5 linked regions of the Sus scrofa genome follow. The protein of the gene in region 5 purifies or fractionates together with the protein of the main gene of each other region. This does not show direct contact. Links are inferred from orthologs where the notes say so. Each region holds a gene or a part of one and is shown on either strand. Other genes may lie near its edges. The genes, in order: CUL7, CCDC8, CUL1, CCT2 and FBXW8.

The links.
Region 1: the proteins of FBXW8 (region 5) and CUL7 purify together in Homo sapiens (affinity purification with western blotting; 12 studies listed by BioGRID and IntAct, with this or other methods). This does not show direct contact. The link is inferred for Sus scrofa from reciprocal best matches to the Homo sapiens genes FBXW8 and CUL7.
Region 2: the proteins of FBXW8 (region 5) and CCDC8 purify together in Homo sapiens (affinity purification with mass spectrometry; 3 studies listed by BioGRID and IntAct, with this or other methods). This does not show direct contact. The link is inferred for Sus scrofa from reciprocal best matches to the Homo sapiens genes FBXW8 and CCDC8.
Region 3: the proteins of FBXW8 (region 5) and CUL1 purify together in Homo sapiens (affinity purification with western blotting; 9 studies listed by BioGRID and IntAct, with this or other methods). This does not show direct contact. The link is inferred for Sus scrofa from reciprocal best matches to the Homo sapiens genes FBXW8 and CUL1.
Region 4: the proteins of FBXW8 (region 5) and CCT2 purify together in Homo sapiens (co-immunoprecipitation; 3 studies listed by BioGRID and IntAct, with this or other methods). This does not show direct contact. The link is inferred for Sus scrofa from reciprocal best matches to the Homo sapiens genes FBXW8 and CCT2.

The regions. Positions count from the first base shown.
Region 1 is NC_010449.5:38,101,283-38,106,926, reverse strand, and holds part of CUL7 (cullin-7), read left to right. Parts: intron 1-18; coding exon 19-109; intron 110-207; coding exon 208-379; intron 380-819; coding exon 820-925; intron 926-1,146; coding exon 1,147-1,242; intron 1,243-1,382; coding exon 1,383-1,558; intron 1,559-1,878; coding exon 1,879-2,012; intron 2,013-2,342; coding exon 2,343-2,501; intron 2,502-2,749; coding exon 2,750-2,856; intron 2,857-2,948; coding exon 2,949-3,131; intron 3,132-5,349; exon of another isoform or gene 5,350-5,451; intron 5,452-5,644. UniProt on the Homo sapiens protein: Core component of the 3M and Cul7-RING(FBXW8) complexes, which mediate the ubiquitination and subsequent proteasomal degradation of target proteins. Core component of the 3M complex, a complex required to regulate microtubule dynamics and genome integrity.
Region 2 is NC_010448.4:52,471,563-52,477,921, forward strand, and holds the start of CCDC8 (coiled-coil domain-containing protein 8), read left to right. Parts: upstream 1-2,945; 5' UTR 2,946-4,554; coding exon 4,555-5,970; 3' UTR 5,971-6,359. UniProt on the Homo sapiens protein: Core component of the 3M complex, a complex required to regulate microtubule dynamics and genome integrity. It is unclear how the 3M complex regulates microtubules, it could act by controlling the level of a microtubule stabilizer.
Region 3 is NC_010451.4:109,555,530-109,561,963, reverse strand, and holds the start of CUL1 (cullin-1), read left to right. Parts: upstream 1-2,849; 5' UTR 2,850-3,727; exon of another isoform or gene 3,728-3,971; intron 3,972-4,009; exon of another isoform or gene 4,010-4,179; intron 4,180-4,291; exon of another isoform or gene 4,292-4,480; intron 4,481-6,434. UniProt on the Homo sapiens protein: Core component of multiple cullin-RING-based SCF (SKP1-CUL1-F-box protein) E3 ubiquitin-protein ligase complexes, which mediate the ubiquitination of proteins involved in cell cycle progression, signal transduction and transcription.
Region 4 is NC_010447.5:33,856,176-33,862,367, forward strand, and holds the start of CCT2 (T-complex protein 1 subunit beta), read left to right. Parts: upstream 1-2,338; 5' UTR 2,339-2,463; coding exon 2,464-2,466; intron 2,467-3,178; coding exon 3,179-3,253; intron 3,254-3,384; coding exon 3,385-3,450; intron 3,451-4,525; coding exon 4,526-4,637; intron 4,638-5,239; coding exon 5,240-5,316; intron 5,317-5,435; coding exon 5,436-5,548; intron 5,549-6,192. UniProt on the Homo sapiens protein: Component of the chaperonin-containing T-complex (TRiC), a molecular chaperone complex that assists the folding of actin, tubulin and other proteins upon ATP hydrolysis.
Region 5 is NC_010456.5:35,480,223-35,485,866, forward strand, and holds part of FBXW8 (F-box/WD repeat-containing protein 8), read right to left. Parts: intron 4,114-5,644; coding exon 3,907-4,113; intron 1-3,906. UniProt on the Homo sapiens protein: Substrate-recognition component of the Cul7-RING(FBXW8) ubiquitin ligase complex, which mediates the ubiquitination and subsequent proteasomal degradation of target proteins.

The sequences.
Region 1 (5,644 bases), on a different chromosome or scaffold from region 5:
TCCGACGCCCGGCTGCAGATGGTGCTGGGCCAGATCGAAGACCACAGACGCACCCACCGCCCCATCAACATCCCCTTCTTTGACGTGTTCCTCAGATATCTGTGCCAGGGTTCGTGCCTGTCCCCACATTACCCCAAGTCTGCACCCCTCCATCCTTCCCTCACACCTTCCAGGCTGTGACTGCCACCCCTTCCCGCTGGCCCGTAGGCTCCAGTGTGGAGGTGAAGGAGGACAAGTGCTGGGAGAAGGTGGAGGTGTCCTCCAACCCTCACCGGGCCGGCAAACTGACCGACCGCAACCCCAAGACCTACTGGGAGTCCAACGGCAGCACCGGCTCCCACCACATCACCTTGCACATGCGCCAGGGCGTCCTCGTCAGGTAACACGCTCCTTGCCTGTGCGTAGCCAAATTGCCGTGCTTTCTTGTGACTTCCCTACTGTTTGTCTTGGGGAAGCACCTCACCTCCCTGAACGGGATCAAAGAGTCCCCTTGGCTGTGTCCACGAGGACAGAACTGGATTGGGTTCTTTTTTTTTTTTTTTTTTTGACTTTTTAGAGCCCACCCACAGCATATGGAGGTTCTCAGGGGTCGAACCGGAGCTGTGACTGTGGACTTACCTCGCAGCCATAGCAACCGGGGATCCAAGCTTTGTCTGTAATCTACACCACAGCTCATGGCAATGCCGGATTCTTAACCCACTGAGTGAGGCCAGGGATTTGAACCCACAACCTCATGGTTCCTAGTCAGATTCTTTTCTGCTGCACCATGACGGGAACTCTTGGATCAGGTTCTGATTGGTTCCTCTCCTCTGCTCGCAGGCAGCTGGCTCTGCTGGTGGCTGGCGAAGACTCGAGTTACATGCCCGCCAGGGTGGTGGTTTTTGGGGGCGACAGCACCACCTCTCTTAACACAGAACTCAACTCGGTAGGGAGCTCCCCTCCTGCCCAGACCCCTAAATGCCTATATTCCTCCTTTTCTTGAGCCCCATAGATCAAGTCCAGCCTTGGGCCCATGTGACAGCATCAGGCCCTGAGCAGTGAAGGTGGCGTCAGGACCCTTTCATCAGGAGGCCTCACACCCCAGGGCTGGTGCTTTCAGCACTCCATCCTTACATGTGGCGGTAACAGCACTCTCTGCTCCCCCAGGTCAATGTAATGCCCTCCGCCAGACGGGTGGTCCTCCTGGAGAACCTGAACCGCTTCTGGCCCATCATCCAGATCCGCATAAAGCGCTGCCAGCAGGTGGGGCCAGGGCATGGTGGGGGTGGCCCCTGGGCGCTGGGCCCTACCCCCAGGAACTGTTGCAGATCTTGGGCCAGCGCTCCAGCCCTTCCTAAGGCCCCACTGTGGGGCTGGTGGAAATGGACCTGTGTGTGTTGCAGGGTGGCATCGACACACGCATTCGGGGGTTGGAAGTCCTGGGCCCCAAGCCCACATTCTGGCCTGTGTTCTGGGAGCTGCTGTGTCACCACACACGCCTCTTCTACATGGTTCGGGCCCAGACTTGGAGCCAGGACATAGCGGAGGACCGCAGGAGCCTCCTGCACCTGAGCTCCAGGTGTGTGTGAGTGGGTGTGTGCCTGTGTGTGAGAGAGATAAGAGCATTACAGAGGGCTGCCGGGGGGCTCCTGTGACGGGTGACCATGCTTGGGAGGGGGCCGGAATGTTCTGTAGTTGGAGGAAGGAAAGAAAGGACAAGAAGGAGAGGTTTCTGTGGTGGCTGGGAATGGGGGTGCCAAGGAATCGAGGGGGTTGTGACATCCTGAGGGGGGAGTTTGGCTGGTTTTAGGGAAGCTGGCGATCTTAGGTTGGGGGGACACGGGGTAGGTCACTTAAGCCTCCAGCCCCCCACACCTTACTCCCCATCCTCCTCCCCAGACTCAACGGGGCTCTTCGCCACGAGCAGAATTTTGCCAATCGCTTCCTCCCTGACAACGAGGCGGCCCAAGCCCTGGGCAAGAGCTGCTGGGAGGCCCTGGTCAGCCCCCTGGTGCAGAACGTCACCTCCCCCGGTAACTGCCCCGCCCCGCACTAGCCTCTCGCGTGGCCCTGCTCACCGGCCCCTTCTTGCTCTACTCTAGAGCCACCTGGGAAATGCTCTTGGCCTTTTTGGTACCCACGTTCGTTTGGTATCCATGTGTTCCCCTTCTCACAGCCCAGGGGCTGCCTCCTTTCCCCTGTCTTCCACGTGCCAGCTGCCACCACAAGGTCAAGGGGGTCCTTGCAACCTTCCTTACCGTATGGTTCTGTCCCGTTGCCCTTTCTCTGCACTCCTGTCCAGCCCAGCTTCCCTGCTGGCCTGCAGACGCGCTCTGCCTTGGCTTGTTTTCCCCCACCCCCAGATGAGGATGGCATCAGCCCCATGGGCTGGCTGCTGGACCAGTACCTGGAGAGCCGGGATGCTGCCTACAACCCCCAGAGTCGCGCGGCTGCTTTCTCCTCACGGGTGCGCCGCCTCACCAACCTGCTGGTGCACGTGGAGCCCTGCGAGGCGTCCCCCAGTGAGTGCTGGGGATTCAGGCGGGAGCTTGGGTGCTTGGTCCCCACCACCCTGCATGCTGCAGGTGTCTGTTCTTCTCTCCCTCCCCTCCCTCAGCCTGTTTATCTTCCTGTCTGTGACCCCCTACCCGGGACCATCACGTTGGGCAGGAGCATGAGGAAAGGCCCCCAGGCTCACCCTTGAGTGGGGACCAAGGAACTGCGGGGCTCCCCACTGCCGCCGCCTCTGCCCCTTCCCCTGTCTCCACAGAGGGCAGAAACAGAAGCCATGACTGGAGCTCTCTGGCCACCCAGGGGCTTCCCAGCAGCATCATGAGAAACCTGACCCGTTGCTGGCAGGCCTTTGTGGAGGAGAAGGTGGGAGGAGTGGGCCGGGGTGGTGCGGCGGTGGGGGGCAGACCAAGACTGTGGCCCCTTCACGCTGCCACCCCTTCCTTCCTTCCCTCCAGGTGAACAGCTTTCTGACCTCACGCTGGCAGGATGATGACTTTGTGCCCCGCTACTGCGACCACTTTCACAATCTGCAGAAGTCGAGCTCCGAGCTGTTTGGGCCACGGGCGGCCTTCTTGCTGGCGCTGCAGAACGGCTGTGCCGGGGCCCTGCTGAGGCTCCCTTTCCTCAAAGCTGCCCACGTGAGCCACCTGCCCTCCCTTCCCCCCCGCCGGGGCCTCTCGCTTCCCCACCGCCTCAGAATGGCCCACCTTCCACTCCCACTTCACGAGGAGCACTCCTGCTATAGAAACCTGTTATCAAAAACTCCAAAAACCGTGGCCACTTTGTGCCGTCCTAACTTAGCTCGGCATGCTTTCTTCTACTTGTGTGCTTGATTTCACGTAGCTTACCCGTGAGTAGCTAAAATGCCTTATCCTGTTTTCTTTTTGACTGCAACTTCCCCATGTGGAACTTCTGGGGCCAGCGATGGAACCTGCACCACAGCAGTGACCCAAGTCACCACAAAATGCCAGATTCTTAACCCCTCCTTCCTGTTTTCTTTTGACCCTTACACTAAAAGCAACATTTTCCTGGTTGCTATTTGTCCTCATTTAAAAACTTTTGCATAAATTGCCATCTAATGGATATACTATAATTACTCCACCATTCCCATTATCCCACAATTTTTTTTTTTTTTTTTTTTTTTTTTTTGCTTTTTAGGGCCGAGCCTGAGGCATATGGAAGTTCCCAGGCCAGGGGTTGAATCAGAGCTGCAGCTGCCAGCCTACACCATAGCCACAGCAACTCGGTATCCAAGCCGCGTCTTTGACCTACACCACAGCTTGCAGCAATCCTGGATCCTTAGCCCACTGAGCGATGCCAGGGATGGAACCCGTGTCTTTATGGATACTAGTCAGATTCATTTCCGCTGCGCCACAACAGGAACCCCATCCCACGAATATTTAATAAGCACTTTAAAATGTGTCAGGGATGGAGTTCCTGTCATGGCACAGCAGAAACAAATCCGACAGGAAACCATGAGGTTGTGGGTTCAATCCCTGGCCTCGCTCGGTGGGCTAAGGATCTGGTGTTGCCGTGAGCTGTGGTGTAGTTTGCAGACTCGGCTCAGATCTGGCATTGCTGTGTCTAGTGTAGGCCAGCAACTGCATGTCTGATTAGACCTCTAGCCTGGGAACCTCCATATGCTGCAGGAGCAGCCCTAGAAAAAGCAAAAATAAAAAGTGTCAGGGGGGTTCCCATCATGGCTCAGCAGAAACAAATCTAACTATTATCCATGAGGACACAGGTTCAATCAATCCCTGGCTTCGCTCAGTTGGGTTAAGGATCCAACTTTGCCTTGAGCTGTGGTGTAGGTCGCAGATGTGGTTCGGATCCTGTGTTGCTGTGGCTGTGGTGTAGGCCGGCAGCTGCAGCTCCGATTGGACCTCTAGCCTGGAAACTTCCTCTAGCTCTAAAAAGCCCCAAAATAAAAAATAAAATAAAATGTGTCAAGCACGGTTATAGAGCTGTAGGTGAAGTCCCTTCCCTCAAAGTTGTCTTCTGGAGAAGATGCACAGTTAAGCAAATGACAGACTAAAATGTGAGAAGCACCTTGGTAAGCAGAGGGCAGCGCAGTGGGAGCAGGAGGCTCGGCTGCAACAACGCCATGTGACCATCCTGGCACAGAACTTACAGGTGTACCTCATTATATTGCCCCTTGCTTTTTACTCTGCTTCGTAGATAATGTATTTTTTAACTTTTTTTTTTTTTTTTTTTTTTTTTTTTGCTTTTTAGGGTCACACCTGTCACATATGGAAGTCCCGGGCCAGAGGTTGAGCCTCTTGGGATTTGAGCCCTGTCTGCGATCTACACCACAGCTCATGCCGGATCTATAACCCACTGAGCGCGGCCAGGGATTGAACCTGCATCCTCATGGATACTAGTCAGGTTGTTTCCGCTGAGCCACAACAGGAACTCCTTAACCTATTGAAGGTTTGTGGCAATCCTGCATTGTTAGGTGATGGTCAGCACTTTTTTTAGCAATAATGTATTTTTTTTTTTCTTTTTGCCATTTCTAGAGCCGCTCCTGCGGTCTATGGAGGTTCCCAGGCTAGGGGTCTAATCAGTAGCTGCCAGCCTACACCAGAGCCACAGCAACTCGGGATCCGAGCCGAGCCGGGTTTGCGACCTACACCACAGCTCACGGCAACGCCGGATCCTTACCCCATTGAGCAAGGCCAGGGATCAAACCCGCAACCTCATGGTTCCTAGTCAGATTCATTAACCACTGAGCCACAACGGGAATTCCAGCAATAATGTATTGTTTAGTTAAGGTATGTACATTGTTTTTTAGACATAATGCTATGTATACTTAATAGACTACCAGAAAATGTAAGCATACTTTTATATGCACTCAGAAACCAGAAAACATGTGTGACTTTATTGTGAGCCTGGAGCCAAACGAGCAAAATCTCCGAGGTGTGCTTCTGTCTCTTCATGCTCAGTTAAACTTTGGATGTGCTGAATGTGAGAAAACATTTTTCAGTATTGTTCTCATTGTCAATGCGCACAGCTGTTAATGATTTCAGTTTTAGAAAATCGTTGAGCAGGAATTCCCGTCGTGGCTCAGCCGAGAGTGAACCTGGACTAGCACCCATTAGGACGAAGGTTCGATCCCTGGCCTTGCTCAGTGGGTTAAGGATCTGGCGTTGCT
Region 2 (6,359 bases), on a different chromosome or scaffold from region 5:
AAATTCAGCAGTGAACGAACCAGACAAATATAAATCTCTGCTCTCATAGGGCTGGAATTCCAATAGGGTGAGACAATAAATAAGAAAATACCAGGAAGCGATGTGGTGAAAATAATTCAGGATGATGTTAAAAACCCTCATGAGGTAAATTCTAAAGTTATCCCTGCAAGAATTTTTTTCCTGGAAAGCACAGAGGTATTTAATTGAGATTACTCTGGGGGAAGGGGCTGGAGGCTTAGGGCTGGTAGCTAGACATTTTTTATTTTACACGGTTCGGCAATTCCAGCATTTTCGTAACATGTACTTGTCACCTTTATTATTATTTTCTAGAGTGGCAACCAAGGGTAGCTGGGTAGAGAGATTTGAGCCATGTTTTGTTTTCTTTCTCCATTCTTGCTGGGTTTTTCATTTCTTTTAAACAAGTATAAAAGTGGGAGCTGTAATTATCGTTTTTTCTGGGGCGGCTGGAGAATCTCGCCTGCCAAAGAACTGGGAATCTAAATCCCTCACAGCGGAACTGCCCAGGGGTTGGCAATTTTTGCAAAAATGTTGAACATTTGGGCTTTTATTTCTAGGATAATCTCCACCACCCCACCCCACCCCGCCTCCGCCACATACGCAACTTTTACCAGTTACAAAACCCAGTGTCTCATCTGCGAGGTCATTCCCACGTGGAAGCCTTGACTTCTCAGGGCTGGATTCTTAAGTCAACATTTAGAAATTTTTAGTTTCGGGCCCCTACAAAACAGCTTTTCAGAGAAACTGACGAGGAAATCAGGCCTAGAGATGGGAAAAGAAGCGGAGAAGAGGCGCTGCCCTGCCCCGCCCACCCTCTCAGAGCAGCCTCTAGCGAGGGAGCGCGTCTCCTCGTCGCCATGGAGACCGCTGGGAGGCGGGGCTAGAAGCTGTGCAAAAAAGGGCGGGGCGCGGTTGGGGGGCGGGGACTGAGCCCGGGGGCAGTTGGGATGGACTTTTTGAGGAGAAAATACAGCAAAGCCTAAAGACCTGGCTCTGTAAAAGCAAAAACAATCCAAATGAGCCAATAATTGTACAAAAATTTCCCTGAGACCTTAGCCGTCCTCTGCCTGCCAAGTATCTTTCTTTCTTCTTTCCCTCTCTCTCTTCCCGCTTACCCCGAACATCTGCCCAGTTCCTTCACGAGTTAAGTGAAATCACATGCTGTGAGTTAAACGAAATTATATGTGTTTATTTTATTTTATTTGTTGTTGTTGTTGTTGTTGCTATTTCTTGGGCCGCTCCCGCGGCATATGGAGGTTCCCAGGCTAGGGGTCGAATTGGAGCTGTAGCCACCAGCCTACGCCAGAGCCACAGCAACTCGGGATCCGAGCCGCGTCTGCAACCTACACCACAGCTCACGGCAACGCCGGATCATTAACCCACTGAGCAAGGGCAGGGACCGAACCCGCAACCTCATGGTTCCTAGTCGGATTCGTTAACCACTGCGCCACGACGGGAACTCCATATGTGTTTATTTTTATACCTTATATTAGAGTCACTAGTTTACCCGGGTTTTTTGGTGTTTGGGGAATTTTTTTTTAACATTTGCATACATTAAAATTGGTCTCCTTTGTAATCCAATAATACAATACCATGCATTGCAAAACTATCCTGAAAAGGGTCCTTGACATGGAAAAGGTTAAGAATTCCTAAGCTAAAGGGTCCTCAAGAGGGTAGAGACTGCTCAGTAATTTGGGGAGGGTGCAGTATGACCTCTGAAGTGATAACCTTTTGCAACACCCTAGCGCCTAGTGCTTAAGGATCCAGTATTGTCACTGCTGTGGCATGGGCTAGATCCCTAGCCTGAGACCTTCTGCACGGCCAACAACAAAAAAAGATGACATTTGAGCAGAGGGAGATTGCCAAGAGAAGGTAGGGGCAGAACTTTCTGGGTGTTGGGACCAGTGATGCAAAGGACCTGAAGGTGGAGGTAAGCCCGATTTATTGGATGACCAATGAGGAGGCAGGTGTGGCTGGAGTGGAGTGAGGAAGAGAGAAAGAGAGCGGGAAGTGGGACTTTGTGGGTGATGGCGAGGACTTTAAAATTAGAGGAGAGGAGTTCCCGTCGTGGCGCAGTGGTTAACGAATCCGGCTAGGAACCATGAGGTTGCGGGTTCGATCCCTGCCCTTGCTCAGTGGGTCGGGGTTCCGGCGTTGCCGTGAGCTGTGGTGTAGGTTGCAGACGCGGCTCGGATCCCGAGTTGCTGTGGCTCTGGCGTAGGCTGGCAGCTACAGCTCCGATTCGACCCCTAGCCGGGGAACTTCCATATGCCGCAGGAGCGGCACAAGAAATAGCAAAAAGACAAAAAAAAAAAAAAAAAAAAAAAAAAAATTAGAGGAGAGACAGATCTGGCTTAAGTTGCTAGGTTGGGGGTGGATTGATTATAGGCAGTGAGAAGGAAGCAGGGAGCCCCACGAGGAGGGATTTGTATGGATCCAGGCAAGCATTGAGGGCAGCTGGACATGCGATGGCTTTTAAGGGGTCAAACAGCCTAGCACTCTCAGGAGGACGCAGATCAGCTGTATCTTCAGAGCCTGGAGTTAGTTCTAACGTCTGGGATCTGGTTCAAATATCTGGCTCTCCACTTCGAACTGTGCAATCGGGGACCAGCCTCAGTGTCCCCAGCTGTAAGGAGATGATAGTGAAGGCATTCACCTTTCGGTGTAGCTCTGCAGATTCATAACAGGCCCACTCAGGATGCCTGGTTTCAAAGAAAGCATCCATGCAGGTTAACCGTTATTATTACTAAGGCAGTTGTTGCTGTGCATGTGGTTGCCTCACAGTTACCCAAGAAGCTTTGCGAATCCTGACCCTTTAATTTAACTTATTTCAATTAACATTTTTGAGGTATCTGAGGTCCTTCAATTTAATTTAACTTATTTCAGTTAACATTTTTGATTGTTAAAAATTGAAGCACTCCAAAATGATAGAGTGAAAAGTCATGTGAAAAGTGAAAAGCCACCTCCGGGGTCCCCAGATATAGCCACTGTTGGCAGTGCTTCTACACATGACAAATGTATGTATACACCTAGGCCCTTTGGTCTACACACACATTAGACTGTTTCAGAATCAAATCCAGGTTCAGTCTTCTTCCTGGCCATGTGACCTTGAGCAAGAGATTGATTTTATTTCCTCAGCTGTACAATGGGAATGAGCATCGTATTATCTGTATCCTGATGTTTTTGTGTGAATTTTATGAGTTAATTTATAAAAAGCACTTAGCATGGTCCTTCGTACGTAGGAAGTGCTCCCTAAAATGTGTTTATTCTCAGTCACTTCTCTTTTTCATAACGGCCTAGTATTTCACCGTTAGTCCCTACCGGTGAACAATTAGGTGCATTCATTCACTCAAAAATATTTCTTGAGCACCTACTCTGTGCCAAGCCCCATGATGAGCTGCAATAAGACCTTGATACCAGGTTCTTCACCCACATGTCTGGGTATATGGCTAGGAACTGCCGGTACCCAAAGTCACTTAATTTTAAGATGGTACTATACTGTCAGTGGCTTTCCAAGGGATTGCCCGATGATGAGCGCGCCCACCTTCAGGGCTGGGCTGGAACCCGCACTTTTGGGACGGTAGTTTCGGGAACTGCTGCCTTTCTCAGAGAAAGCTGCTGACGTGGGCGTCGGCACCGCAGGCCTTTGGCTTGGAAGCCGGGGCCCCTGAGAGGCCCGGGGCGCAGCCACACCCCTGGGGGGGAGGGCGGCGAGGGCGCCCCAAGGGGAGTGGACAGCCCCCCTGTCAGTCTTCCCCGAGTCCGGGAGTGTAAGCCGAGCAGGGAGAAGGTGGGCCTCATCCAGGGGGAAGGCGAGGAGGAACTTCCTGCCCGCGCGCGCACTCGCCGGCCCTGGGCGCGCAGGCTGGGGGCGGAGGCGCGTCAAGGTCAGCCTGGACCGAGGTGGCAGCCTGCCTAGGGGCGGGAGACCCTCCTGGGGAGCTGGCTGCGGCCTCCAAGAGCCTCGGCCATATTGAACAGCCACAGCTGAGCCGTCTTTGTCTGCAAAGTCCTTTCCCAAGTTCCAGGGACGTCCCCTGTGCCTGGCACAGGAAGAGCCACCAGCAGTCCTTACACTGAGTTGGAGCCGGGACACCCATTTACAGCTTGCGGCGGGCTTGGAACCTTGAGACTCCGACTCACGTAAGCACCCTGAATCGATTCCCACCAGTCCTTGAGGGGAGCGAACTGGATCACGACCCGACTTGTTGCGGGCAGAGAAACTGGGAGGTGAGATTCCCGGCCGCGCTCTTGGGACCGCATCCCCACCCCAAGACTCGGCGCTGCGAGTAGTTTGGGCTCCTTGCCCGCACTTTAGATTTCACCCTGGAGATCTTAAAGACCCTCGAGAAAAGCCACGTGGGGGGCTGGTTCCCCTGGGGCTTCCTCCCTTCCCCTGATTGCCTGATCCTCTGGAGCGTCCCCGACATCTGCAAAGATGTGGATTTGGACGTCCTCGTGGAAGCCTTGAAGCCGGTGGGGACATTCAAGAAGATCGGCAAGGTGTTCCGCCGCGAGGAGGACTCCACGGTGGGGATGCTGCAGATCGGCGAGGACGTAGACTATTTGCTCATCCCCCGCGAGGTCAGGCTGGCGGGAGGCGTCTGGAGGGTTATCTCCAAGCCCGCCACCAAGGAGGCGGAATTTCGGGAGCGGCTGATCCAGTTTCTGGAGGAAGAAGGCCGCACCCTGGAGGATGTGGCCCGCATCATCGAGAAGAGCACCCCCCACCCGCCCCAGCCCCCTAAAAAGCCCAAGGAGCCCGGATCGAGGAGGAGAGTCCCGCAGATGGTGACGCCACCTCCTCGGCTGGTCGTGGGTACTTATGACAGCAGCAATGCCAGTGACAGCGAGTTCAGCGACTTTGAAACCTCCAGAGACAAGGATGACAAGGACCACAAAGGCACGGGGCGTGGAAGGAGGCTGCGCAAAATGCCTGTCAGTTACCTGGGCAGCAAATTCCTTGGGAGCGACCTGGAGAGCGAGGATGACGAGGAACTGGTTGAGGCCTTCCTGCGGCGAGGAGAGAAGAAGCCCAGTGCCCCGCCGGCCCGCCGCCGTGTGACCCTGCCAGTGCCCATGTTTGAGGACAATCCGGGACCCCAGCTGTCCAAGGCTGATAGATGGCGGGAATATGTCAGCCAGGTGTCCTGGGGGAAGCTGAAGCGGAGGGTGAAGGGCTGGGCACCGAGGTCCAGCCCAGGGGTGGGTGAGGCCCGGCAGGCCTCTACCAGGGTGGAGAGGGATGGCGCATCGGTGCCAGGCAGCTCAAGCCTCGGGGAGGACAGGGGAAATGCAGGAGATGGGCGGGTGCCTGAGAATCCCCCAAGTCGGTGGAGACCCAAAATCAATTGGGCCTCCTTCCGTCGTCGCAGGAGGGAGGAAGCCCCAACTAGAGCTCAGAGAACAGAGGCTGCAGATGATCAGAGGGCAGAGGTAGTAGTGGTCCCGGGGGCAGAGGCCATAGCTCTCCAGGGGGCAGAAGCTGTGGATAATCAGAGGGCTGAGGCCCCTGCTGCTCAGGGGGCAGAGGACCCAACTGTCCAGAGAGTAGAGGCTGCAGATAATCAGAGGGCAGAGGCCCTAGCTGTCCAGGGGGCAGAGGCGCCAGCTGTCCAGAGGGCAGAGGCCATTCCTGACCAGAGGGCAGAAGCTGCATGTAGTCAGAGGGCAGAGGCCCTGGCTGTCCAGGAAGCTGAATCCTCAGCTGCTTGGAGAGCCACAGGGGCAACCCCAGGAGCCAGGACCCGGAAACCGGTCAAGACAGTGAGGTTCCAGACCCCCGGCCGCTTTTCGTGGTTTCGAAAGCGCCGGAGAGCCTTCTGGCACACCCCCAGGTTGCCCACCCTGCCCAAGAGAGTCCCCAGGGCAGGCGAGGCCAGGAGCCTCAGGGTCCTGAGGCCTGAGGCCAGAGCAGAAGCAGAACATGAAGAGCAAGAAGATCAGCTGTGAGGCAAGGGCAGGGGGGGTCACAGAGGACCCTGCCACCTGTCACAGTATTGGCCAGCCAGGGTGTGTCCCTGACTCCCCTGCACTTGGGCAGAGATGCTATAATCTGTCCCCACACTTGAAAATGGAGATAAATCAAGGGCCTGGCAGTGCCCCTCTAATCTCCGCCTAACACCCCTCTTTTTTCTTGCTAAAATTGTATCTTTCATGCATTGATTTAAAAAAAAAAAAATACAGACTAGGGAGCTCGCATCATGCAGCAGCAGAAACGATCCAATTAGGAACCATGAGGTTGCAGGTTTGATCCCTGGCCTCGAACATTGGGTTGGGGATCTGGTGTTGCAGTGAGATGTGGTGCAGACGCGGCTTAGATCTGGCATTGCTGTGGCTGT
Region 3 (6,434 bases), on a different chromosome or scaffold from region 5:
AGCTCTGATTCCATTCCTAGCCCAGGAACTTCCATAGGCCTCAGGTGTGGCTGTTTTTTAAAAAAAAAAATGTTGAGCACAGAGAAATTAATAACTTGTTCAAAGTTATTCAGATATGGGTTTCTGTTGTGGTGCAGTAGAAAAGAATCTGACTAGGAACCATGAGGTTGCAGGTTTGATCCCTGGCCTTGCTCAGTGGGTAAAGGATCTGGCATTGCCATGAGCTGTGGTGTAGGTCACAGATGTGGCTTGGATCTGGTGTTTCTGTGGTTGTGGTATAGGCCGGCAGCTGTAGCTCCAATTAGACCCCTATCCTGGGAGTCTCCATATGCCGCAGGTGCGGCCCTAAAAAGCAAATAAATAATAAATAAAATAATAAAACAAAGTTATTCAGATAATAAGTAGTAAAGCCAGGGTAGAAACTCTGGCAGTTTCAAATTTCCTCCCTTCCCCTTCCCACTCAATTTTGACTCAGTAGGTCTGGAATCAGTATTCAAATCCCCAGGTGATTCTGAAGCAAAGACAGTTTTGGGAACTATCCTATTAAATGAATTTACTTTGCAGTGGATGGCTAGTCTTCCTCATGTCTTAGAAGCAATACCACATATGGCTCATGAAGTGACACATGACCCTTTCAAATCTGATTAATAAACAATTATTTTTGAATCCTCTGCAGTGTCCTTCAGGCACAATGCTGGAGGGGCCTGGGGAACATCAGGAAGTAGTGTCTGACCAAGGCACAGACCACTTAGCTTAAAGGCACTTGTAAGAAGTTAGCAATCAGAGATCATGAAAGCCTGCGTAGAAGGTGCAAAGGAGGCTTTCCTGGAAGTGGATGTGAGCTGGATATGAAAAAGGAGGATGATTTGCAGATGTAGGAAAAGGGGAGAGACTTTCTATTTGTTGAAGGAAAAAATGGAAGCAAGCATTCATAAATGGTGATTCAAGGCTGATATTTGTGGACCAACAGTAGAATCAACAGGATGGAATGAAGTTGAGAGTTCCTTTTGCCAACTGGCTGGAAACACATTGGAAAAGTTAGGACAGGATTATGTGCCTTAAGTGCCAGGTCAGAGTTTGGACTGAACCCTCTAAACAGTGGGGAGCCAGAGTTCCCTCCCATTGTGGCTCAGCAGTGTGTAATCCAACTAGTATCCATGAGGATACAGGTTCGATCCCTGGCCTCGATCATTGGGTTAAGGATCCAGTGTTGCCATGAGCTGTGGTATAGGTTGCACCTGTGGCTCGGATCCTGCGTTGCTGTGGCTGTGGCATAGGCCAGCAGTTGTAACTCTAATTCGACCTCTAGCCTAGGAACTTCCATATGCCGCGGGTACAGTTATAAAAAAGACAAAAATAAATAAGTAAATAAGTAAACAGTGGGGAGCCACTGAAAAGTTTGAAAGGATAGCATCATTTGGAAAGAATCATCAGTGGTTAGTCACTGTGCAGGCTGGAAGGATAGAGCAGAGATCAGAACCAGGCAAACTATTTAAAGGTAAAAACAGGAGTTCCCGTTGTGGCGCAGTGGTTAACGAGTCTGACTAGGAACCATGAGGTTGTGGGTTCGATCCCTGGCCTTGCTTAATGGGTTAAGGATCTGGTGTTGACGTAAGCTGTGGTGTAGATCACAGATTGGGCTCCGACCCCGAGTTGCTGTGGCTCTGGTATAGGCCAGTAGCAACAGCTCCGATTGGAATCTCCATATGCCGCAGGTGTGGCCCTAGAAAAGACAAAAAAGACAAAAATTTAAAATTAAAAAAAATAAAGGTAAAAACAATACAGGTGTGGGAAACATAATAAAGGAGTGGATCTGCACATACTTGGGAGTTACTGGCTTAGGTTACGCCCCTCATCAAGCTTAATGATTTGGAGCAAATTGCCTGATATGTCTGAGAAGTGGTATAGATGCTACCTGGTTGTGAGGTGGACATAAAAGTCAATGAATGACATAGTCTAAGAGCTGTCAGTAACAGTGCAGATGAGTGGCGAGTAAAAGCTAGAAGGAAGAAGCAGGAATTAAGGCAGTGAGAATTGGAGAGGATGGTTATAGGTGAACTAAATCCTTCCATTCAGGGAAAAGTGAGGTAGTAATTCAGTAGGGTTCTCTTGTGGCACAGCAGGTTAAGGATCTGGTGTGGTCACTACTGTGGCTCTAGTTCTATCCCTGGCCCAGGAACTTCTATATGCCATGGGTGCGGCTGGAAAAAAAAAGGGGGGGGAGAGGTTGAAAGAAACAAACAGTAAAGGGAAAGCTGACCCACTCCGTTCTTGTATTAGCTATGGGAAGGCACAGACAAGAAGACCATGTTGAATGGTGAGAAGGGAGAGGACAGTTTAGGGAAGATGGAGATGAGATACCTTGTTGTTTGAGGAAAATACAGGTTCCATTATGGGGAACAAGTAAGAGAAGCCATATATATACAGTGGAAAGCACTGTCCACAGGGACAAGCCTTCCATTTCTACCTTCAATTTTACCATGTGCCCACAAAAAAATTGCAAAATACACCTGTTTCTTCTTCTTTTTTGGTCTTTTCCAGGGCCACTTCCCATGGCATACTGAGGTTCCCAGCCTAGGGGTCTAATCCGAGCTGTAGACACTGGCCTACGCCAGAGCCACAGCAATGCGGGATCTGAGCCACATTTGTGACCTACACCACAGCTCATGGCAACGCCAGATCCTTAACCCACTGAGCAAGGCCAGGGATCAAACCCGCAACCTCATGGTTCCTAGTCGGATTCATTAATCACTGCGCTAAAATGGGAACTCCTCCTACACCTGTTTCTTTTAAATATCTAGAAGTGTAGGATGTAAACCAACAATTTAAAAATCATTGCATAGATTGAGATCATATACTTTAGTGACAAGTACAGACCAATGCCTTACTTCTAAAGGTACTTAACAAATGTTGACAAGTGACCACATTTCAATAGAAGGAAACAAATACTATGGGATATTCTAAGAGAAACCTGTATTCCTCAGGAGACAGCGTAGATTATGGGGGCAGCCCTCTACTCTGGGCCTAGGATTTCCACCCCACGGTGATACTAAAATCTTCTCCTGTTTTCATTTGGAGCAAAACAGGAAGTTATGTTCATCAAGTTTTTTGCCCAGGTAATTTGAAATTCTTCCTTGCTTGTTCATGGAAGTCGTGGGCCCTCTGGTATGTAAACCACATCATTCCAGCAGAAGCCCCTCCAAGCCCGCCTTTTGTCACCTAGGTCATCATAGGAAGCCAGGTGGCTATTTGTGCTGCAAAAATGTGCAGTTCAAGGACCCAATTGTGAGTTAATTTCACTTGACTGCGGTGAACTACTCCAGGACTCACGTGAAAACAATGTTATTCTGCAGTCACGCCTCATCGCATCCACATATATGGAAAAGCTTAAATTCCATTCTTGATTTGTCTTTACAGAGATTAATGGTAAAGCGAATCTTTATCAGCCCTTTGCCTAAAAAGGAGTTGGTTAAAGAGTTTGTGGAGGAAAGCTGGATTGGTTTGATTTCAGAAACGATTTTAGAGAGGCGCCGGGGAGCCGGGGCTCTGGTGCCGAGGCCCGCAGGTGTCTTGGGGCTGAGAATGGACCACACGTTTTTCTTTTCAAGGGCCCCTCGCCCATCCTCGACTTCATCAGCCGGTCGGGATCTGGCTTTTGGTTATTCCCCCGGCTGGGGAGGCAGATCCACCGGGTGTCGTTGTGTTCCGTGTCGGTTCAGGGTTCAGGGTGAGTGTGCGCGCAGGAGGGGGTGTGTGAGACCCTCTCCTCCAGGGAGTTTTGGGGCGGCTTCTTCCTAGGCTGGCGCCCCCAACCTCAGAAGGTGACCCCTCCTCGTTCGGCCCGAAGTGGCGGGAAGCCGGGTCCTTAGAGGCGGCCCGAAGGCGAGGGAGGCTGTAAAACCTGGAGGCGGATCCGGTGCGCTCGGCCGGGGATGGCGTGGGGTTTCAGAGCCAAGGACCGCGGGCTTCAGGTAGGGACCAGCCAGGCGAGCGGGGCCTCAGCGGCGTCGGGGGCCCTGGGGCCAGGGCCACGGCGGGCGGGAGGTTTCCGGGCCCCTCCCGTGCCGCGGGCTGGTGGGGAGATGGCGGCGACGGTTTCCCGGCTCCCCCGCCCCGGACGCGATGGCGGTGCGTTCCGGCCCTCCCCCACCAGCTTCACGCCCGCGGGAGCCGGAGCCGGTGAGGCCGGGAGGGCGGGGAGCGGCGGAGGAAAGGCGAGAGGGCGGAGGTTGCGTGGTGCAGGCGGCGGCGGCGGCGGCGGCGGCGGCGGGAGGAGGAGGAGGAGGAGGAGGAGGAGGGCCGGCGGGCGAGCAGGGGAGGAGGAGGAGGCGGGAGCCGTGTCGCACGCAGCTCCAGGCGGGGCAGCCCCGGCGGCTGAGGGACGCGGCCAGACCTTGGCGGGACGGGGATTTAACCGGGGCCCGGCCCAGCGACCAGGTGGAAACGTAGCCGGAGCCACTTAGGCACCCGGGAAATACGGGTGAGTGTCGGGGGTCCGGCGCCGAGGGGGTAGGTGGCGGCGGCGGGCGCAGGCCGGGCCCCGAGCCGCGGTGTCGCAGTGACTGGGGCCGCGGCAGCCGAGCGCAGGAGGCGGGCGAGGCCTGAGAGGCCGAGCCGCGGCCGGGAGGTATGGCGGCGGAGCCGGGGGACTCGTGGGCAGAGGGCGCCGGGGGCGGGAGGTGAGCGAGCGCGGCCCGGCCCTGAGTCACCCGGGTCGGCTCGGGCCTGGCCGGGCCGCGGCACCGGACGTGGGCTCAGGGCGACCAGGCCCGGACTACGCACTGGGAAAAAAGCCCGATTCATCGCGCCCGAGGCGGCGGCCTGGTGGCGCCCGACCCATTCCCATCGCTATTGGGCTCGGGCTGCGGAGCCCGGCGGCGAGCGGCCCCGGGCGGTCGGGCGCGCGCGTCTCGGCTCTCGGGCGGCGACCCCCGCGGGGCACCGGGGACCCGTGCGGTCTCTTCCTCGCCCCTCGGGATCACTTCTCTCCCGAGCGTCGCTTCCCCCCCAGCGCGTGCTCTCAAGTAAGTACTGGGCTCGCGCGCAGGAGCGGCGGCGGAGCCGGGCTCTCTGCTTTCCGGTTCCCTGCCCGCGACTCTTGGGTTCCCTGCCCGCATTGTTGCGACTGTGCAGGGCGCTATTATTGGGTAACAGTCGCCCTTTTGCCCCGTTCTCTTGGGAGAGCGGGCCAGGAAGGTGGCAGGGATGCGAGTGCAGCGGCCGAACGGGACCGAGCCCCCCGGCGCCAGCCAAGCGCCCGCGAGTGGGGCCGGGCCTGCGCCGCCGCGTCGGCGCGCCCCCGGCCCTGCGCCCGGCGGGAGCGCGCGCTGACCCCGCAGGTAACCCTTGCGGAGGGTGGCCCTGTGCGCCCCGCTTGCTCCCCCTGCCCCGCGCAGGAGGTGGCCTGCAGCGGGCCAAGTGATGGTTTCAGGAGAAACGCTTTGTGAACATTCCTGGAGACTAATCCGCAAAGTTCAGGGTTTTCTCCCTTCAGCGAGCTCTGCCCCAAATTGGATCCTCTTTTCCGAGTGGATCCTTGTTGCTTTTAATTGGTAGTTGGGGTTAGTGGTGAGGGTGCAAATGGGGAATTGCAGTTAACTTATACTCAAGCATTTATTTGCTCTGTGTAATTGTGGTGACATTAAAACAGAGTTAGGAATGGAGTCAGGGGTCACGCAGTTTTGAAATGAACTTTTGAGTGACAGAAGGGAACTCAATTTGCTTTTACTTTTAAGCTCCCAGCTGCTAAGACCTAAAACATCTTGACATTCCCCAGAACGTGTGCACTTGTAAGTTTAACACCTCATTTTTGTGGTCGCCCTGTCTACCTGATATTCTGATATCCTGGAGCGTTTGTGGATTGTGTAGCAGAACAGGGAATGTTGTTTAAAAAGCAAAATCAGTCACTTTTCACATTTTTCAAATTATTCAAGACACTTTTTTGATCCAAAAGGGTTCTTGGATGTTAGGAAACATTTTACTTGAAAGTTCTATTTGTTGCTTTCCATGATAAGTTGTAATAGTTGTATTTCAAATTCCGAAGCATGCAAACACAAGACTGGCTCACTTTAACTCTATTATGCCCATTTTTGGAGGTTTTTGGAGAGTGCTCATTAAGCTAGAGAGGGGTGGCTGAAGTACTGTCTAAAAATATTACCTTTTTTTGTGTGTGTTTTGGTTTTTTTTTTTTTTTTTTTGGTCATTGGACTCAATCTTTTAAAAAACTTATTTTACCAAAAAGAAGGAAGAAAAAAACTTTTAGATGGACTACTAGGATATTTGACCAGTTTGTAATCTCTCTCAGAGCCACAGGCTCAGGTCCTTGGAGGCATGTCCATCTCCCTTTCCTAAGGTCGCCCATCACAGAGGAGAATTACCAGTCAGTGAATGCCCCAGCTGATTCTGCAGTTTCTTTAGGTATTACAGCACCTCCT
Region 4 (6,192 bases), on a different chromosome or scaffold from region 5:
AACCTCCATATGCCGTGAATGCGGCCCTAGAAAAGGCAAAAAGAAAAAAAAAGCAAAAATAAATAAACTGAGTCACCTTGCTGTACAGTAGAAAATTGACAGAACACTGTAAATGAGCTATAATGGAAAAAATAAAAATCATTATAAATAAATAAATTTCATGTAATTTTTAATGTATCACAAAAGTTTTTGTTTTTGATCAAAATGTGAAAATCTTTTTTTTTTTTTTTTTGGTCTTTTTGCCGTTTCTTGAGCTGCTCCCACAGCATATGGAGGTTCCCAGGCTAGGAGTTGAATCAGAGCTGTAGCCACCGGCCTAAGGCCAGAGCCACAGCAACGCGGGATCCGAGCCGCGTCCGCAACCTACACCACAGGTCACGACAACGCCAGATCATCAACCCACTGAGCAAGGCCAGGGATCGAACCCGCAACCCCATGGTTCCTAGTCAGATTCGTTAACCACTGAGCCACGACGGGAACTCCTGAAAATCATTTTTAACTCTCTGGCCATACAAAATCAGGTGGTGAGTTGGATTTGGCTCCCCATGGTTTTTCAACCCCTGGAGTAAATTAACCTTTTTAGAATTTTATCTGAAGGGTAGAAACAATAATTGAAAAATCTATTAATGTTAATAATTGCCAAAATCCAAGTGCTCCCTAGGTGAATAGTTTTTTTTTTTTTTTTTTTTTTGGCTTTTTAGGGTGGCACCCTTGGCATATGGAAGTTCCCAAGCGAGGGGTCAAATCGGAGCTACAGCTGCTGGCCTACACCAAAGCTCACAGCAATGACAGATCGTTAACCCACTGAGTGAGGCCTGGGATCGAACCCACATCCTCACGGATCCTAGTCGGGTCTGTTAACTACTGAGCCACGGAGGGAACTCCTAAATAGATTTTTTTTTTAAGCACAAATATTCTACTTTGAACATCCTAGAGGGTCAACGTAAGGAAAATAGAAAACTTCTTAATAAACAGAAATATTTACGATTGATCTTGCTCTCTACCACAGCTTAAGAGGATGTTGGTCATCCCTACAACTGTGAGTGATGGTGCTGGTGGTGGTGAGCCCTCCTAAAAATGAGCAAGCAGGGCAAAGACAAAGTAAATGTCTCTGTCAGAGCTCACAAGACCTTGTCCTGGTCAGTCCAATTAAAAAGTGTTCTAAAATTCAATAAAAGAAATGCAATTCTTGGAGTTCCTGTTGGGGGTCAGTGGTAATGAACCTGACTAGTATCCATGAGGATGCGGGTTCCATCCCTGGCCTCACTCAGTGGGTTAAGGATCTGGCATTGCTGTGGCTGCTGTGTAGGCCGGTGGCTACAGTTGTGATTCAATCCCTGACCTGGAAACTTCCATATATCTCCAGTGAGGCCCTAAAAAGACAAAAAACAGAAGCAAACAAAACAGAAATCTGTGTTCCTCTGTATTAATAATGCTCAAAATTGGAGTTCCCGTCGTGGCGCAGTGGTTAACAAATCTGACTAGGAACCATGAGGTTGCGGGTTCGGTCCCTGCCCTTGCTCGGTGGGTTAACGATCCGGCGTTGCCGTGAGCTGTGGTGTAGGTTGCAGACGCGGCTCGGATCCCTCGTTGCTGTGGCTCTGGTGTAGGCCGGTGGCTGCGGCTCCGATTGGACCCCTAGCCTGGGAATCTCCATATGCCGTGGGAGCGGCCCAAGAAATAGCAGGAAAAAAAAAAAATAATTAAAAAAAAATAATGCTCAAAATTAAACTAGCAGTAAAATATTATAACACTTTAAATTGTGTATATGTAGCACCTCAAGGCAAAAATTTTTTAAGGTTAAATTTAAGAAAAAAACCCTCCGCGTTCCCATGGTGGCTCAGCGGTAAAGAATCCGACTAGTATCCATGAGGACGCAGGTTCGATCTCCTGCCTCACTCAGTAGGTTAAGGATCCAGTTTTGCCGTGAGTTGTGGTGTAGGCCGCAGACTCCACTCAGATCCCACGTTGCTGTGGCTGCGGTGTAGGCCGGCAGCTATAGCTCCGATTAGACCCCTAGCCTGGGAACTTCCATTTGCCTCAGCGCAGCCCTAAAAAGAAAAAAAAAATTAAAACTTGCAAGAGAAATCTCCGTTGCTATGGCAACCCCCAAGGGCGGCGAGGCGTCTCTTCCATCTTGGGGCGTTCTGCTTCCAAACCGCTAGTTCCCAAGCAAAACGTCACACCCTCCTTTCCTAGTCCTGAGCAGGTGGCTCCGCAAGGGGCAGAGGGCAGCCAAGGCCCCGCCCCTCGAGCTTGACTGGCAGCGTTTCCGACCCGCGGGGCTCCCTTCGAAATGCTGCCCCTTCCCTTCCCCCCAGGGCGGCGCCCATAAGGAGCCGCGCGCCGGCCCGGGCTCCGCCCCCTGCGGGAGAGCGTGTGGCGTCACTTCCGGCCTCTTTTCCCTCTGGACCGGATCGCGAGCTGTGAGGGGTGCGCGTGTGTACCGAACTCCTCGGAACCATGGTGAGTCTGGTCCCGCAGTCCCTGCCCAAGGCCCCCAGTGCCGCGCCGCCCTCTGCCCATCTCTGTGTTCCCAACGACGCGGGCTCCCTGAGTCTGTCCCCCGGGGCCGCAGCACATGGCGCAGGCCGCGGCGTGTGGCCTGCGCCGGGCCGGCGTGTGAGGCCCCCGGTGCGGGCCCGAGGGAGGAGTGGGCCTTAAGGCCAGCGTCTTATTCGGAGTCGGCCTCTCCGCAGTCTCAAACCTCAAGGGCCGCGTTTCACCCCAAGCAGAGAAATTTCTAGTGCACCGGGCGGGTCGGCGAGGCGGACCCCGCCCTCCCCCTCGGGGCGGAGCCTGGAGCGGCCGGAGGGCGAAGCTGGAAGCGGGGCCGCTGTGTTCCCTCGTCCGCCTGGCGGTCGTCGCGCGAGTGGGCTACAACCCCGGCCACCTCATTTTTAAAATCATCTTTGAACTTGCTGTACACCGATAATCTCTCTGACGTAGAATTTTTATTTTTGGAGCATTTGTGGTTCTAAACAGCAGTGTCACTTTAGTCCCTCCCTCCGCTTTAAATACCGCCCCGGTGATGAAGAGCTTCATTTGTTTAAAAAAGGACGCTATTCTGCAAACTGATTTTCTCTTAGATAGCAACTGGTAAGTCTAGTGGAAGGTATCCAAGTATATGTGTTAAGGAGTACTGGTACTTAGACTGATTCTTGTTTGTCCCTTTTAGGCGTCCCTTTCCCTGGCACCTGTTAATATCTTCAAGGCTGGGGCTGATGAAGAGAGAGCAGAGACAGCTCGTCTGGTAAGCCTCGTTCTTATTCTTTAAAAGATACAATAGTGGAGGGGGATGTTCGTTTTTTGTTTTTTTGTTTGTTTTTTCACAATTTAAGACTCTTAAGTTGATTTTCATCATCTCTTTAATCTTTACTCCAGTCCTCTTTTATTGGTGCCATCGCTATTGGAGACTTGGTAAAGAGCACGTTGGGACCCAAGGGCATGGTAAGAAAAATAGGGATTTTTAATACTGTTTTAGAACTTTTTGTAGAAATGTAATAGCATGCTTTTTGAAGACGCTTTTAAATATTTAATTGTTGATTATACTTAAAGACTTGTGTGTATTTTCCTTATTAAAAATCAGTGACTAAAGTCCTCTTTCATCTCAAATGCCACTCCCCTCCCCAGTCCTTTTGGACATAAACATAATCAATGCCTTTGTTCTTATGTAGAGGTAAGGGTATCTTATGTGTTAGGTGTTTTTTATGTATTGTCATTGTAACAGAACGTTGTTTTATCTCTTCACAGATAATATTTGTATGTACTTTTTCTGTAACTTGGTTTTTTTAAATTCCTTTCGGTGTAAATGTACCCGTCCTCTTTGCCAAATAGTATTCTGCATGTTGCTTATTTTATGGTTTGTATTTATTACTTTGTTGTGAGAAATAGTTTGCATCTGTTGCCTTCGCTATTACATTGTAGAAACAGCCTTGTTCATAGCTCTCTCTTCTTTTGTTTTTAAGGGCTGAACCCACAGCATATGTAGGTTCCCAGGCTAGGGGTCAAATCAGAGCTGTAACTGCCAGCCTACCCCACAGCCACAGCAACATGGGATCCGAGCCTCATCTGCGACCTATACCACAGCTCACGGCACTGCCGGATCCTTAACCCGCTGAATGAGGACAGATATTGAACCCAAGTCCTCATGGATACTAGTCAGGTTTGTTACTGCCGAGGCACAGTGGAAACTCCAGGCTCTGTTCTTCTAGTATTAGGGATAGACGCCAGGTTTTGATTTTGGGGATGTATGCAATGAAAAAATTTGAATGGATGCTGCCAAATAACCATCCAGAGTATTTACCCATTAGCAATGTGTGAGAGTATGGATTGACCTATTCGTTCTTCCATATGTGTTCGTATCTTTTTTGGAGGGGGTCGTAACCAAGGCAAGCAGAAGTTCCCAGGCTGGGAATCGAACTGTTGCCACATCAGTGATGATGCTGGATCCTTAATCCATTGTGCCATCAGGGAATTCCAGATGTGCTTCTATATTAACTTAAACCAAATATGTTCCTTTTAGGATAAAATTCTATTAAGCAGTGGACGAGATGCTTCTCTTATGGTAACCAATGATGGTGCAACTATTCTGAAAAACATTGGTGTGGACAATCCAGCTGCTAAAGTTTTAGTTGGTGAGTCTGATGTTTTGTTAATTAACATTTTGAAGCAATTTTATTTTCATTTTTATTTAGTTATTTTATGCTTTTCAGGGCTGCACCCATGGCATATGGTGGTTCCCAGGCTAGGGGTCAAATTGGTACTGTAGCCACCGGCCTGTGCCAGAGCCATAGAAATGCCAGATCCAAGCTGTGTCTGTGACCTCCCCCACAGCTCATGGCAAGGCCAGATCCTTAACCCACTGAGCAAGGCCAGGGATTGAACCCGCAACCTCATGGTTCCTAGTCAGATTCGTTTCCACTGAGCCAAGATGGGGAGCTTCTGAAACAATTTTAAATAGGCTATTTTGACTGTCTTTTTTATTAAGTCATGTTTGACCTTTAATTGATTATTATCATTATTAAAATACAAGTCTCTGGAGTGCCATGTACTTACTGATAGTAAAATTATTGAATTTCAGACTGAAAAGTTCCAAAGAATTTTTCAGGTGAGGAAATTTAGGTGAGATTTAGATTGGTAATGGGTTGTTTAGAGAATTAGGTAAGCTACTGAGATAAAATTTAAAAAGCAGAATCAAATATAAGTGGGTTAATAAGTAGCATTTTTTTTTTCCTAGACATGTCAAGGGTTCAAGATGATGAAGTTGGCGATGGCACTACCTCTGTTACTGTTCTTGCAGCTGAATTACTAAGGGTAAGACTAAATGAGCAACTTCAGTCTTACTGGGGTTTTTAATTACTATGGTTTTGAGTATCGGAAGTCTTTTCCCACAAATTTACTGTTGATGCACCTTTTCCACTGTTTATTAACAGGAAGCAGAATCTTTAATTGCAAAAAAGATTCATCCACAGACCATTATTGCTGGTTGGAGAGAAGCCACCAAGGCAGCAAGACAGGCTCTGTTGAATTCTGCAGTTGACCATGGGTTGGTATACCAAAATAACTATTGTTTCAAACATTTACTGTTCTTTTCAAAATTTTCTCAAGGCAGGAAGTCTAGGGAACAGTGAAAAGCATACACCAACATGATCCTGTTTCTTAAAGGCCTGCCTTAACAACCAAAAAACCCATACTACCCCCAGAGTGACTACCCAGAGGTAGTCACTACTAAAGTTAAAGTTTGGATTTCCAGTTTTTTTGCATATATAATCACAATAAGCAAAATAAATAGTATCCTCATCTAGAGGGTTTTCTTAGCCTCTTTAACTTAGTTGAATAACAAGCATGTTTCTGGGTGTCAGTATCTCTGTAGTATTTCAGTAGAAGTATGCATTTGATGATGAACTTTGCTGTAATTTACCTATCTGTAATTGGAGATTTGTATTTTGATAATTTTTAGCTTTATAATGTTATGAACTTACTATTTTTTAAAGAATATACAATTTCTGGGTCCAAAGGTATGTATGTATTTAAAGGCATAGTTATTTACAAGTAATCCTCCAGAAAAAAATTTATTAATTTACAGTTCCACTAGCTGTATAATCCTCTTATGTTCTTGAATTTTTTGTTTGCTGAAAGTATATTGACAGACACGTGTCTGAATACATTTTGAAAAACAAAACAGTTGTT
Region 5 (5,644 bases):
GAAATAGAATCTGTCAGATGAAAAATTTATTAAAAATATGAAAAATTTAGGCATTCCCCTCATGGCTCAGTGGAAACGAATCTGACTAGTATCCATGAGGATGCAGGTTCAATCCTTAGCCTTGCTCAATGGGCTAAGGATCCAGCATTGCTGTGAGCTGTGGTGTAAGTTGCAGAGGTGGCTCGGATCTGGTATTGCTGTGGCTGTAGCAGAGGCTGGTGGCTGCAGCTCCGATTTGAGCACTAGCCTGGGAACCTCCATATGCCACAGGTGTGGCCCTAAAAAAACAAGAGAGAGAAAGAGAGAGAGAGAGAGAGAGAGAAAGAAAGAGAAAAAGAGAGAAAGAGAGAAAGAGAGAAAGAGAGAAAGAAAGAAAGAAAGAAAGAAAGAAAGAATTAAACTAGGCTGGTATTAAATAGAACTATTACCTCACTACACTGAGAATTCAAGAAATAAATGAGATAACCAAAACTTGAAAGTATAATGGGTGAAAAATTAGAAAACAAATAAATAGTCTCTCTTCTCTCAACAAATGGAAAAGAAAGTGTTTTCAAAGGCTGAGAAAGGAAACTGCTTTAGGAAACCAATTGCTGTCCCTTCCCCCCACTTCCTGGGAAGACAAAACACAGGCGTTATATCATCATAGACTTTCCAGCTAAATTATGCTGAACATGCTCCAGCAGAGCAGGCCAACTTGAGCACAGAAGGAGTCCCTTCTCACAGTGAGATTACAATAAACTGCATGTATTTTTTTTTTTTGATTTTTTAGGGTCACACCTGCAGAATATGGAGGCTCCCAGGCTAGGGGTCGATTCGGAGCTGTAGCCGCTGGCCTATGCCACAGCTCACAGCAACACCAGATCCTTAACCCACTGAGCAAGGCCAGGGATCAAACCTGTGTCCTCACAGATGCTAGTCGGGTTCATTTCCACTGAGCCACAATGGGAACTCCAAACTACATGTATTTTCTATAGCTTTAGCTATCTTCTTGATTGAAGAATATATCATCAATATATCATCCTGGAATGCAGGACGCAAAACCAGTGAACACCTAGATAGGTGAGATTTGACCTTACAGATGACTATACATAGTGGAAACAAGATGTAAAAACCACAGCCACAGGCTAGACTCAAACTATGAGTGGCAGAAAGAACAGGAAGTAAACTTTCCAGTGCCAGGCACTATGCTTAAAGATTACACACATGTTCTCATTTAATCCAACAATTCTATGAAGTAGGTACTGTCATGAACTTCCTTTTACTAATGAGGAAACTTAGGGATAAAGAGGGTTAAGCAACCTGTTTGAGGTCACACAGGGCAGTGGGTGGTAGGGCTGGGACTGGAGCATGGTAAGCACCTACAGCCTGGCTCTTTTCCAGTTCATGATGCTGCTGTGTGGAAAAGGGCCTCCTTCCTTAGGAGAAAAGTTTGTTGTCAGAGGAGCCACTGGTTCCTTCTCAAGGATTATCTCCACTACCAGCAGGGTCAAGAGCCAGCAAATTGGAGAGAAATCAAAACAAAACTTTTCTCTCTCTCCCCTGATTCCATGGGAAGAGAAAGAGTTCTGTAAATCAGCAATAAGACTAAGTACTTAGACTATAGTCAGAATAGTAAAATACTAACTAGTGATAAAATTGAGTCATTATGGAAACAATTTGAATTAAAAACCTGTCTCCCTGTTTCTAGCTCAAAGAGTATCGGAGGCACTTTTACCCACTGTAGAGAGAATGTAAATTTTGACGCAACCTTTTTAGAGAGCTATTTGTCAATATTCATCAAACCTCTGACAAAGCAATATTAATTGCTAGAAATTTATTCTAGCGATTTACAAATTGCAACATGCGTTATAGCACTGTCTACAATAGCCCAAATGGTGAAAGCAACCTAAATGCTCACCAGTGAGGGGACTGGTTACACAGACTGTGGGTTGTAAGCATCACTGGAATCCTAAGGAGAGGGAACTAACATGGACTGCTTTCCAAGGTATATAACTGAATAAAAACACTGGGCACAGAACAGTATGTATAGCATGATCTCATCTAAACAAAGATAGGTTTTTAGTGCATAAATGTGCACATATGCACTAAAATTTTCTAGATGGATATCTAAAAACTGTTAATAGTTTCTTCTATGGAGTAGGACTTTGGGAAGGAAAGAGAAAGAAAAGAATAATCATTTTATATCATCCTGAATTACTTGACTTTTTTAAAACCTCACTGATATATATATATATATATATTGCCTGAACAGATCTTTTAAAAACATATCAGTGAACGGAAATCTCCTACACTGTTGGTGGGAATGTAAATTGGTACAACCACTGGGGAAAACAGTATGGAGGTTCCTTAAAAAACTAAAAATAGAGAAATAGAGTTGCTATATAATCCAGCAATCCTATTCCTGGGCATATATCTGGACAAAACTACAAAAAAAGATAATGCACCCCAATGTTCACAGCAGCACTAGTTATAATAGCCAAGACATGGAAACAACCTAAATGCCCACTGACAGAGCAATGGATAAAGAACATGTGGTACATACATACAAAGGAATATTACTCAGCCATAAAAAAGCATGGAATAGGAGTTCACACTGTGGCACAATGGGATCAGCAGTATCTCTGGAGTGCTGGGATGCAGGTTCAATCCCCAGCCTGGCATGGTGAGTTAAAGATCTGGTGTTGCCATGTAGGTCACAACTGTGGCTCAGATCTGATCCCTGGCCGGAGAACTCCATATGCCATGGGTAGGCCCCCCCACCCACTCAAAAAAAAGCATGAAATAATGCCACTTGCAACAATATGGATAGATCTAGAGATTATTATATTAAGTCAGAGAAAGAAAAATATCACATGAGATCACTTATATGTGGAATCTAATAAAAATGATACAAAAGAACTTATCTATAAAACAGAAACAGGAGTTTCCTGCTGTGGCACAATGAGTTAATAATTGAACTGCAGTGGCTCAGGTCACCACAAAGGCATGGGTTTAATACCCAACCCAGTGCAGTGGGTTAAAAGGATCTGGCATTGCTGCAGCTGCAGTGTGAGTTGGAAGTGTACCTCAGATTTGATCCCTGGCCCAGGAATTCCATATGCTACGGGACAGCCAAAAAAAGGAAAAAAAGTTTCTGGTGTTGTCTTAGCCACAGCACAGCTATGGGGTAGATTCTATCCCTGGCCCCAGAACTTTCATATGCTGCAGGTATGGCCATAAAAAATTAATAATAATATGGGAGTTCCCATCATGGCACAGTGGAAATGAATCTGATTAGGAACCATGAGGTTGCAGGTTCTATCCCTGGCCTCGCTCAGTGGGTCAACGATATGGTGTTGCTGTGAGCTGTGGTATAGGTCACAGACACGGCTCAGATCTGGCATTGCTGTGGCTGTGGCGTAGGCCAGTGGCTACAGCTCCAATTAGACCCTTAGCCTGGGAACCTCCATATGCCGCAGATGCGGCCCTAAAAAGACGAAAAGACAAAAAAAAATTAATAATAATAAAATAAAGTAAAACAAACTCACAGACTTTGAAATCAAACTTAGGGTTACCAAGGGGGAAATCATGGCAGGGGGAAGGATAAACTGGGATGATGGGATTAACACATACACACTATTATATAAAATAGATAACTAACAAGGACCTACTGTACAGCACAAGGAGGTCTACTCATTGTTCTGTAATAACCTAAATGGGAAAAAAAAGAATGGATATATGTATATGTAGAACTGATTCACTTTGCTGTAAATGTGAAGCTAACAACATTATAATCAACTATACCCTGATCAACTTAAATATATACAGATACACATACATATCAGTGAGCTTTAATTTTTAAATTGCCTTCTAAAACAGGAAATCTATGCTCTTTTTTGTTAATTGTATATCCTGCTATTTTTGTACCTTGTTTCCTTCATACAACCATGCCAGAAACTTCACTCCAAAAGCAGCCTGGTTGGCTGAGACATCTAGACATGTGACAGGATGGCCACGGCCGGAATAGAGGGTTCTGGCAGAGTCTTCAGCTTTTAGCAGGTATACCAGATCTTCAGCAGTGGCTACTGCCACAGGGTACCTTCCAGTATCTGGAACTATTTCAAGGCAGTCAACCTGTTAAAGGATGAGAATCATTTACTCCTTCAGGTCTCACCTACAATTCATCCTTGGTCCAAAATACACAATTCCTCCTACACATCAATGAGAGGACCAGCAATCCAAAAGAAAAAGACAGGCCAAGGGCTAGTTCACAGGAGGCAAAACATAGTACTTATACAAATGAAAAGATGCGCATCATAAAAGAAACACAATATACTCCTAATAAGAGAAATACATCACCTGTTATATTAGTAAAGATCAACTAGTCTGATCAGACAGTGGCTAGAAGTAGAGGGGGAACAACCATGTTTATGGATCCCACTTACAGTTGGTAGGATGTAAGCTGGTTCAACGTCTATGGAGGGAAATTCGAGAACAGTTATCACAACGCCAAAGGCACATATGTGCTAACCCAGGAAATCACTTCTAGGAATTTATTTACAAGTAAACTCACATTTATGCAAAATGACTGTGTACAATTTTATCTGCTGTAGGCACTGTTTGGCCATAGCTAAAAACTGGAAAACCCTGAAAATGCATTACTAAGGGACTAGTTAAATAACTTACAATACATCTATGTACCGGAGTACCATGAGGTCATAGGGAAAAAGGACAAAGACATTCTTTACAAACTCATACAAATGGGATCATTTCTAAGATAAATCTGGGGTGGGGGGTAGCAGGGAAGCAAAGTAACAAGATTCACAGTGTGCTAATGTGTGTAAAGGTGGGGAAGAGAAAGCCTATGATATACATGGCTTGTATGTGCATAAATCTAACAATGGCTGCCTTCGGGGAGGGAAATGAGTTGTGGGATGGAGTGGAAGGGAGATTCTCACTGTAAATCTTATTGTGCCTTTTAAATTATGGAACACGGGGCTATAATAACTATTCAAAAATAAAAGTTTTTATTTCTTCACAAGAATCTGAACAACACATTTCACTCAGTTCCAAATTAGCCAAAAGCACATTTTAATGTTTGTGCAAATACCAAAAATGTGTTGCTAAAAGGTTAGAAGTGTGAGTTAGCTGCTTTCTCCTGGATTCAATGTCATCCCAGGGTAGGAAGACCACTGCAAGCATTTTTATGCCACCTCAATGCTCCTGGCTGCATCACTGCTACCATTTTCTCTAATCTGCATGGGTATGGGGAGCTTCCTTTAAGAATAATTTGCTTTCCTATATTCATAAATGGCATGCTCCCTCTGAGTACAGTTTACATCAGTTTTCATCTCCCTGAGTAAATTCTGAGAGTACAAAAGTGGAAGGTGAACCACCTACATGATTATGAAAATCCACAGTGTAAAAGGACAGAGTTGCCCTGACAAGAAGCCAAATGAGTTCAAAAGGCCTGAATCCTGGGAACTGGCCCCAGGCACTTGAGGGAGTAAAACATCTGGGTGACTCTGCTAATCCTCAGGCCTGACAGTGTGAATGACGGCCCCACATTCCCAGCTGAGGGTCCATCACAAAGGACGGCTGTTCTAGCACAGTATAACAAACTGGGAACATAGCCATTGTGATGCAGGGAGCCTATCTGAGGAAG